Drosophila melanogaster: one gene and its partner. The protein of the gene in region 2 interacts with the protein of the main gene of each other region in a pairwise test. Each region holds a gene or a part of one and is shown on either strand. Other genes may lie near its edges.

Region 1 (3,215 bases), on a different chromosome or scaffold from region 2:
TCCGTCCTGGATGATGATCATTTTGGCTCCGGTCTTCTCCTGCAGCTGTTTAATGGTATCGCCGCCCTTGCCAATGACCAAGCCCACCTTGGCGCCCGGAATCATGATCTCCTGGTAAGGTGGATACCCGCTAGGTCCCGGTGGCGGCATATTGATCGTCAACAGCACCTCCACCTGTCCCCCGCCAGCCCGATTGGCCATGTTCTGAATCATTTCGCGCCCCTTAGTGACTGTATCCCTTTGACCACGCAACATGATAACGCGATCTTGATCCTGCATGACCTGCACTTTTACACCGGACTCGGCCTGGATGTGGGTGATGGTGTCGTTACTGGAGCGACCCATAAAGGCGCCGGCTACCGATTCGGGCAGACGGATCTGCTCCTCACAGCTTGTTCCCGCCGAGGCGGCCAAACGAGCGGCTACCGCAGCAGCCTGGGCGATTGCCTGAGTAATACTGGCACCGCCGGGACCTCCGCCGCCGCCACCACCACCCCCGCTACCGCTGCTCATGTTGGAGCTGTTGTTGGCGTACTCCGGACTGCCCAAGGAGCGTTTGGATTCCGGACCGCTGTCGCCGTCGTCGTTGATACGCTTAAAGCCAGGCCCTCCACCCGAAGACGGTGGCGATGGACCCGCTGTGCCGCCGCCCTGCTGGCTGGGCTGGATCTTGGCTGCGATCTGGTTTGGGGATTGGGGCAAAAGAAGCCGAATCAATGCCCACTTCCGCTTCTTCCTCTTCCAAGTGGTGGGAACTCACCTGCTTGGCACGCTGAATTGCCTGCGCGAGTGCCTGCGATTGATTGATGCCTTGTTGCTGGAAGTCGCTCATAGTTCTGGGTTTATAATAGGTTCAATTCGGTTCTTTATGGTTACCACTTGTTTTTTTTTTGTTCTGTTTGACCGCACGCGTTGAAAATTCAATAGCCGAAAGCGACGATTTTTTCACAAATGCTGAGGAAATACTATAAACGCTTCCTATGGCATTTGTTTAAGTGGCTTTCGAATGTCTACTCTGCCTTATTGTTGAGCCGTTTTTTTCATGCGCTTCTACGTTTTTTTTTTTAATTTTTCTTTCGGCTTTTCAGTGAAAATTATGCGTTTGCAAAAAAATTGTGTAGCATTATAGCTTGATTGGAGGCGTTTTTTCACCCTCATGATTTTCACTGCAACGGTAACACTGCGCATAAGATATTCACGGTTTTAGTCCGCGCTTTTGGTATATTTGTGTTAAATTAAATATTCAATGACTTATATGAATTTATTTGAAAGTAAAGGATCTACTTAAACTTAATTTCTATTAAGCCCAAGCTCCCAATTTGTGTGAATTTGCCCAAGGAAATGCATATTGTTTTCACAAGTTACAAAGTAGAAGCATACAATTTCTATACAATTTTTTTCCTTTTCAGAATATTAAATGTAATTGTTTGGCCTTAAATTTACGTAGCCAATAGCTAGCTTAAGTATAAGGTATTAATTATAATCCTTATGTTTTATTAAAAAAAATACAAGTAAGCGTTAAAAATCTATTTGAATGTATGGTATATTTGAACGATATTTACTCAAACTCCGGGTCACCCTGTGTTGCAACTACTTGAAATACTAGGAAAAAGTCAGTATTTTCATTATATGTTTAAAGACCGTTTCCCGCGAAGGTCACTCTGTTCTTCTTTCGTCGGCAACGTTGCGCAGAGCACGGCTCCAGATTTGTTAAACGCGAATTTACCCCACAAAAACGCATTTAAAATGGCATTCGGTGATGTGACCACCCCGCAGGGACTGAAGGAGTTGAACGCCTTCCTGGCCGACAACAGCTACATCAGCGGGTAAGCACGCGTCATTAAATGTGAGGTTATGTACGACCTCACCACGTCGGCAGATGTATTGATCGAATAATTTTCTACCCATTACTATACTCCCATTAGATATACTCCCAGCAAGGCCGATCTGTCCGTGTTCGATGCTCTGGGCAAGGCCCCCTCTGCCGACAATGTGAACGTGGCCCGCTGGTACCGCCACATCGCCTCCTTTGAGGCCGCTGAGCGTGCCGCTTGGTCGGGTACTCCTCTGCCCCAGTTGGCCGGTGGAAAGCCCACAGTGGCTGCTGCTGCCAAGCCCGCCGCCGACGATGACGACGATGTGGATCTATTCGGATCCGACGACGAGGAGGACGAGGAGGCCGAGCGCATCAAGCAGGAGCGAGTTGCCGCTTACGCCGCCAAGAAGTCTAAGAAACCCGCCCTCATTGCCAAGTCGTCGGTGCTCCTCGATGTCAAGCCCTGGGATGACGAGACCGACATGAAGGAGATGGAGAACAATGTCCGCACCATCGAAATGGACGGTCTGCTGTGGGGCGCCTCCAAACTGGTCCCAGTCGGCTATGGCATCAACAAGTTGCAGATCATGTGCGTCATCGAGGACGACAAGGTGTCCATCGATTTGCTGCAGGAGAAGATCGAGGAGTTCGAGGACTTTGTTCAGTCTGTCGACATTGCTGCCTTCAACAAGATCTAAACATCTGAGATTCTTATATTAACAATAAACTTGAGCAAAGCGAACTAAGCAAATATAGTTGTCTTCATATTTAAATAAAATATTTCACATGAAAGCTGCAATAAGCCAATCATAATTCAGATTGTAAAAACACATCAGTTTTATTGGAATAATGATTGAAATTTTGTAATTTTCACCAAAAAGTATACTTTTATAATCGGTAAAAATCTCTAATCTCTTTAGTTGGCTTGCTGGCTCTCTCAAGTTCTCAGCTTAAGTCTTCCGTTTTGAAGCTTTCGGCGAGCTTTTGTCAACAAAAAAGCGAAGCTCGTAGCACTTTCAGCTCAGTTGATCGGGCAGCTCGATAGAGGTCGGTTGTTTACAGATAGTTGTGATACTGTTCAGTGACTTTTCAAATTGCATTTGCAAACAAATATTTTTCGGACACAAGTACTGCTTATAATGGCTGCCAACAAATTGTGCTGCACTTTGGCTATTGGCGCTCTTTTGTGTCTGGGATTCGCAGCCCTCATTCAAGCTCAGGGTGAGTTAAATACATCGAAAACTATATATTTACATTATATAGGCGAGAACATTTCCGTTCTTGTTATTGTTCGCGAGACGTATTTGTTACGCATTTGCTGAGATTTGCTTTTAACACGAAATATACAAATACCTGATCGTCTGCATTCATTAACATTAATTAGCAATTGTATAGATAT
Region 2 (6,108 bases):
CATGCACTATTACCAGTCTGTCGCACCTTTTTCGTATGCTAAATAGGTTTGCTTACATATGTATGTATGCGAAATTCAATATTATAATAAACGATTGCTTGTTCATTATTATCCATAACAGGACATCTCCGGCCAGGTGGTGCTCATCACAGGAGGAGGCGGTGGTGTTGGACGTTTGATTGCCCTAAACTTTGCTCGCCTTCAGGCCCGCATTGTCATCTGGGATATAAATCAAGAAGGTAAAATCACACCTAGTTGCTAATGACGCCGTCACAGCTTCTGCCAGGCGGGTCAAAAAACCCGACGGCTAGTGAAAGCTGTTACATTTACAATTTGATTAGCTAAACAATATTTGATCATAATTTTCCGCACAGCCATAAAGACAACTGTGGATTTGTTGGCCAAACATGGTTATGACAACTGCAAGGGCTACGTTGTGGACATCTCAGATCGGGAGCAGATCTACCAGCGTGCCAGCCAGGTGACCGAGGAGGTTGGTCCCGTCGACATATTGATTAACAATGCCGGTATCGTGTGCTGCAAACCCTTCTGGGAGCTGCACGATCGGGTCATCCAGAACACGTACAACATTAACATCATATCGCACTACTGGACCGTGAAAGCGTTTCTGCCTCACATGATGCGCAATAATCGTGGTCATATCGTTACTGTGGGCTCGGTAACTGGAATGCTGGGCACCTACGGATGCAGTGACTACGCGGCCACCAAATACGCCTGCATCGGTTTCCACGAGAGTTTGCTCACCGATCTGAAGGCCCATGGCTATGATCAAATCCAAATGAGTTTGATCTGCCCGTACTACATCAACACGGGCATGTTTTCGGGTGTTCGGCCGCGGATGATGCCCATGCTGGAGCCGCAGTATGTGGCGGATCGCATCGAGAACGCCGTGCGCTGCAACGAGGTGTGGTGCGTGCTGCCCAACTCTATTCGCCTGCTCACTCCTCTCAAATGGTAAGTAGTCTATTTAACATAGTTATATACAATGTAATTAATGCTGGTTTTCTCAGTCTTTTGCCCGCCAAAATGTGCTGGGAGCTGATGTCGCGTGTCATCCGTGGACCCGAGTCTATGATGATGTTTCAGGGACGAGGGCGCGTCGCCGCTGGTTAAACACACAATAGGAATCATCATATGGAATCCATTACCTAAGCTTAAGTTCTTTTTCAAGAGGCGGCATCGTTTCACCTATAATTTTACAATAAACTTAGTTATTTGATTTAATGAACTATTTTAATAGACTTACACCTATCATTAAGGCTTTAGTTCCTGCTAATCCCGCACTGTGGTCTGTTGGTAATAATGCGGCGCCAGCTCCGTCAGCCACTCTCTCTTGATTACGGTCACGTAGTTCATGAACAATTTCGTCGTTTGGAGCAGTTCCCCATAGACCACGTACTGAGCTTGAGGAAGTGTGTAGAGAGTGGAGTTCGGATGAATGGCCAGTTCAGTGCCGCTGCTGATTTGTCTATAAACTCCAGAGTGATGCAGATAGGCCACCTGTGTGAAGAAGCCGGCGGTGATGCACTTGCACAACTTTTCCACATCGCCCTTGCACGAGAAGATTGGAATGCCGTACTTCTTTCTGGCCACTGTGATGAGTTGCTCCCTCAGCGAGTGGGCCCTCTTAAGATTCCTGTAGATGAGGAAGTATTGGCCACAGAACTCCTTGGTCATGCCCTCCTCCACGAAGCCAGTGTAAGCGTTCAACATCGTAATAAAGTCCCCTTCCGCAACTTCGAATTTTCGATGTGCAATGCGTCCACTTTGTTGGGCAACCGCTGAAGCTGGGCGCGAAAATATAGACTGCACCTGCAGCAACGCAATGATGGTTATGATCTCCTCGGAGCAGCCCATCTGACCGGAAACATAGAGCATTTTGGAGAGCATAGCGCTGAAGGGGAGTTCGGCCAACAGGTAACCCACGGGCTTCGTCAGATTGCCCTGCTCATCGATGGCGTCCAAGGCAAATAGACTCTCCAGTGCGGAAAGTAGATTCTGTGCCGGTGGTGGCGATGGGAAATCAAAGCGCAATATGTTCCCGATGCCCAGCGCCTTTAACTGCAAGATAGCGCCGCTCAATTCGCTGCGTCGCATTTCGGGTGGCTGCCGAGGAGCTAGTGCTTCATAGTCTGATTTAGTGTACAAACGATAGACCTTGCCGGGACGCATACGACCCGCTCGTCCTGCTCTCTGGATGGCCGACGCCTTGCTGACGGGCACTATAACCAAACTGTCACTGCAGGTTTTGGGATTGTACCATTTTACCTTGACGTAGCCGCAGTCTATCACATAAACAATGCCCGGAATGGTGATGGAGGTCTCTGCTATATTCGTGGCCAGCACCACTTTGCGGGTTCCTTTGGGCGGGGTAAAGAATACCGACAACTGATCAGTGCTCGACATACTACCATACATGGGCAGCACCTTGAGATTCTCCTGTTCCGAACTGGCGATGTATTCGCGCAGAAGATCCAGCGCCTCCAGGACTTCCTCCTGGCCAGTTAGGAAGGCCAAAATGTCGCCAGGCGGCTCCTTTTGATGCAGTTTCCAGACGGTCTCCACAGTTTCCTTCACATAATCGGCGCAGGGTTCGTTCAGATAGAAATTACTCACAGGATGCATGCGACCTTCAATGCTTAGCTTAACGCTCACTTCGCCCGATCCTGGCCAGCTGAAGAACTCGCTGAAGAAGCTTGCATCTATGGTGGCCGATGAAATGATGAGCTTGAGCGAGCTGCGTTTGCGAAGGATCTTCTTGAGCAGTCCCAAAATCATGTCGGTGAGCATATTCCGCTCGTGCGCCTCGTCCACGATGATAACACCATATTGGGTGAGCAGCGGATCGGCTAGGACTTCCCTCAGCAAGATGCCCTCGGTCATGAACTTGATTTTGGTACAGGAGCTCATGCTTTCCAGGAAGCGAACTACATAGCCCACCGTGTCACCTACCAGTTCGCCGCGTTCCTGTGCCACGCGATTAGCCAGCGTAACCTGGAAATGAAGTCTTTAGTTTTAGATTTTATAGTTGCTTTGCTTTAGGATTACTTACGGTGGAAACGCGTCGTGGTTCGGTGATGCCAATGAGTCCCTTGGTGTGCCAGCCCCATTCATACAAATACTGTGGCACCTGGGTGCTCTTGCCACTGGGAAATATGAAAAACCACAGAGTTAGAAGCATTACTTTGAAGCTCATGGAATTCCATACAAACCTGCCTGTTTCACCCACTAGTATGACCACTTGATGCTTTTCCAAGCAGTAAAGTATTTGATCCCGGTACTGACGAATGGGCAAACGTTCCCTCTGTAATAATTTAAGTTTAATTTGTTATTCTAGCAAATGTTTACGAAATATTTTGTAAGCCCACCTGCTCCATGAGTCCCATATTGTGATTGACATTGAATACAAAGGCGGAGGACTGCTGTTCACCACCGGCACTATCTGTGATTGCATCGTCCGTCTCGGGTTTTAGGAACTTTGGCTTAAAAGTGCTCATTTTCAATTATTTACTTCGTTATAGATTCAGTTTTGAAATTAAATAAACAGCTGATGGACTCAATGCATTGGTGCAAAATACCAAAGCGCGCAAAAGAATGTTAGGAATTTCGTTTAATATAAACTAATGGTCACACTTTTATTTGGCGGGAAATTGCATTGTATTGAAATTTCGATTAACGATAACCATCAACTATATAATAAGTTGAATTGCCCAAAAACCTAAGTATTTACTTAATCACTAAGTATACAGTCGCCTAGTTGAGGTCTATAAGAAAAGAGGATAATCAAATTTCACTATATTTTAGTTAAGATTTAAAAATGCAAAATATTAGTTTTTAGAAATTGTTTGGCTAGTACCTCAAGCTTATACCTTTGGTACCCACAAATTATAATATATTTGATTTAGTCGACCATTTCACGAGCCCCAATGGTGGCAAATGTCCATAACATTCACCTGTATTATTCATGCACATGTTTTTGTCCATTTTGCGGGCACGTTGCAGCACCGACATGTCCCCTATTGCTAGTGAAAATAACTCTAATTGCCAGTGGCAAGGCCACTTTGCTCCTCTGCATACCCAGCAAACTCATTATGTACTATAAGGTCGCCCTGGCCACGTGTGTGTGTCAAAAGTGTCCCCCGAGTTTTGTGCAGCTGTCGGCGACAGAAGCGCCCGGCCAATTGCTTTTGAATAAATATTGTATTGTATCTCTCGAGCAACAAAACACACACATTGTTTTGCCCGCTTGTATTTTTTTTTTTGTATATATTTTGATTTATGCACCGTCAGTGGGTATTATATGCATGCCGCCAATATTGGGACGAGTAAGATGGCCGTCGATTCCACACATGCAGGACCCCCGTATTCTGCATTGACCCTGACATTAAGAACGCTCGCTTTAACTTTAACCCCATCCGATGCGATCCGAACCCAACCACCAATTTCAAGCCAAAGCAAAACACGTGCCCGACATGCACGTTTGACCAACCACATCCGCATGCCAGTGCTGAAACAATGGAGCCCAGCTCCACTCCACTCCACTCGACCCGAGCCCAGCCCCCATGGCGTATGAGTAATCCGAGAAAAGCTAATTAAAGGCCAGCGGCGAACTTCATGCCAAGGACGAGGCGCCAAGTCGCCAAAGCCAAGCGAAAGCCAAAAACTCTGCGAGCAGTTTGTCAACACCGCCGTCCGCGGAAAGTGCTTCAACTAAAAGGCACTGAGAAAAAATGTTTTCACTTTCCACTCAAGCTGATATCAGCATCACAGGTAAAGAGGTATCTTCGCTACATGAGAAAGATTATAGTTTCGAAAAGTGTTAAGAACGATGCTTCAGTATTTAGTACTACATCTTAAATTGCAAATACTAAAATATAATAATTTCCGCTGTGCATATGGATTAGTCATTTCATTTGCCTTCTATCCCACTTAATAGTAGTTAAGTGAATATTTAGTTACATTGCGGGTTATGGGAGGCTGTCACATTTTCGCACAGTGTGTATCTTGTCCGTTTGGCGTCCAGTTCCAGTTTCGGTTGCATATAAATTTTAATAGATGCGCCCAAGGCCAGAGTTTTACTGTCAAACGGCTGTCGGCACTCCACTGCCGGTATCCAAATTCCGATTCCCCCGTCTTTGGGCACCTGACTAAATGCCACAAAACTTAAAGGGCGGCATGAATGCTAACTGTTATTCCGGCTTTTACGAGCAAAGTTTCCTTGGAAATGCCAGTGGAGGGTACGTTCCTTTTGTTCTATCTACGTATTATAACTATAGTTTCGCGTTGACGACCCTGATTACAAACGCCGGAGTTGTGCGTCCTCGACACCCAGCGAGTGGTGCGAAAAGGGGCTGGCGTCATTGTCTTTGCGTGCCGCGAATTTGCGTGATTCATGATGCATGTGGCAGGGCGGCAAAGTCGCAACTCAAATGCAGCACACACAAAGTGCACACGAAAAAAAATGGTGACGCTTAATTGGAAATTAATATGGAAAAGTAAGGTTATCTTCTGCTTACCTTTGCATCCCAATTTTTCATCGTAGTTAGGATATCCCATATCAGCTTTCAATTTCGCACAGTGCATTTTGGAGTCCTAGCACTCCGGGCGTTGTTTTTTGGCGCGTCTTCATCCGCTTTAATTACTGGAACTACTGAAACCGAAACTAGTCCCTGCACCACTTAATGTCAATAAAAATGTCAATTGCACACGCGACCTTGGGCCGCCCGTATGGCTTTCCGGTCAAGTTGGCCGGATTTCGGATGGCATATCACTCCAAACGGCGGCGATTAAAATGGATTTTTTCGGCAACAAGGATTTTGAGGTCCTCACAGCTGAGCGGCGTAAACAAAAACAACAGGCCGCCTGTGTCCTGAGAGCTGGAGGGAGAGAGACAGAGAGAGAGTGAAAGGTGGAAAGAGAGCGACCGGCTTTGGTGACACGTGCTCCAAAAACTGGCGGCGCTACGTGGCGTATACGTATTGCGCTGACGCCGTGGCCATTTTCCACTGTTTTTTACAGTTTTTTTTTCCCACTTCTGCCTTTGTTGCCGCTAATGTGTTTTGAAAACGCATATCCCAATCCGGCACG

The links. Proteins that work in one complex are often made in the same cells at the same time.
Region 1: the proteins of CG3225 (region 2) and eEF1beta interact in a two-hybrid assay, tested with the Drosophila melanogaster proteins (one large-scale study listed by BioGRID).

The regions. Positions count from the first base shown.
Region 1 is NT_033778.4:16,866,566-16,869,780, forward strand, and holds eEF1beta (eukaryotic translation elongation factor 1 beta), read left to right. Parts: upstream 1-1,656; 5' UTR 1,657-1,746; coding exon 1,747-1,826; intron 1,827-1,925; coding exon 1,926-2,514; 3' UTR 2,515-2,715; downstream 2,716-3,215. Other genes in the region: Psi (P-element somatic inhibitor), read right to left, coding at 1-681, 761-832; CG6426 (uncharacterized protein), read left to right, coding at 2,956-3,037. UniProt on the Drosophila melanogaster protein: EF-1-beta and EF-1-delta stimulate the exchange of GDP bound to EF-1-alpha to GTP.
Region 2 is NT_033779.5:4,814,649-4,820,756, forward strand, and holds CG3225 (uncharacterized protein), read right to left. Parts: upstream 3,598-6,108; 5' UTR 3,519-3,597; coding exon 3,390-3,518; intron 3,326-3,389; coding exon 3,234-3,325; exon of another isoform or gene 3,168-3,233; coding exon 3,074-3,167; intron 3,016-3,073; coding exon 1,294-3,015; 3' UTR 1,268-1,293; intron 1,244-1,267; exon of another isoform or gene 1,210-1,243; 3' UTR 1,135-1,209; coding exon of another isoform or gene 1,032-1,134; 3' UTR 976-1,031; downstream 1-975. Other genes in the region: CG15629 (uncharacterized protein), read left to right, coding at 122-239, 375-975, 1,032-1,134.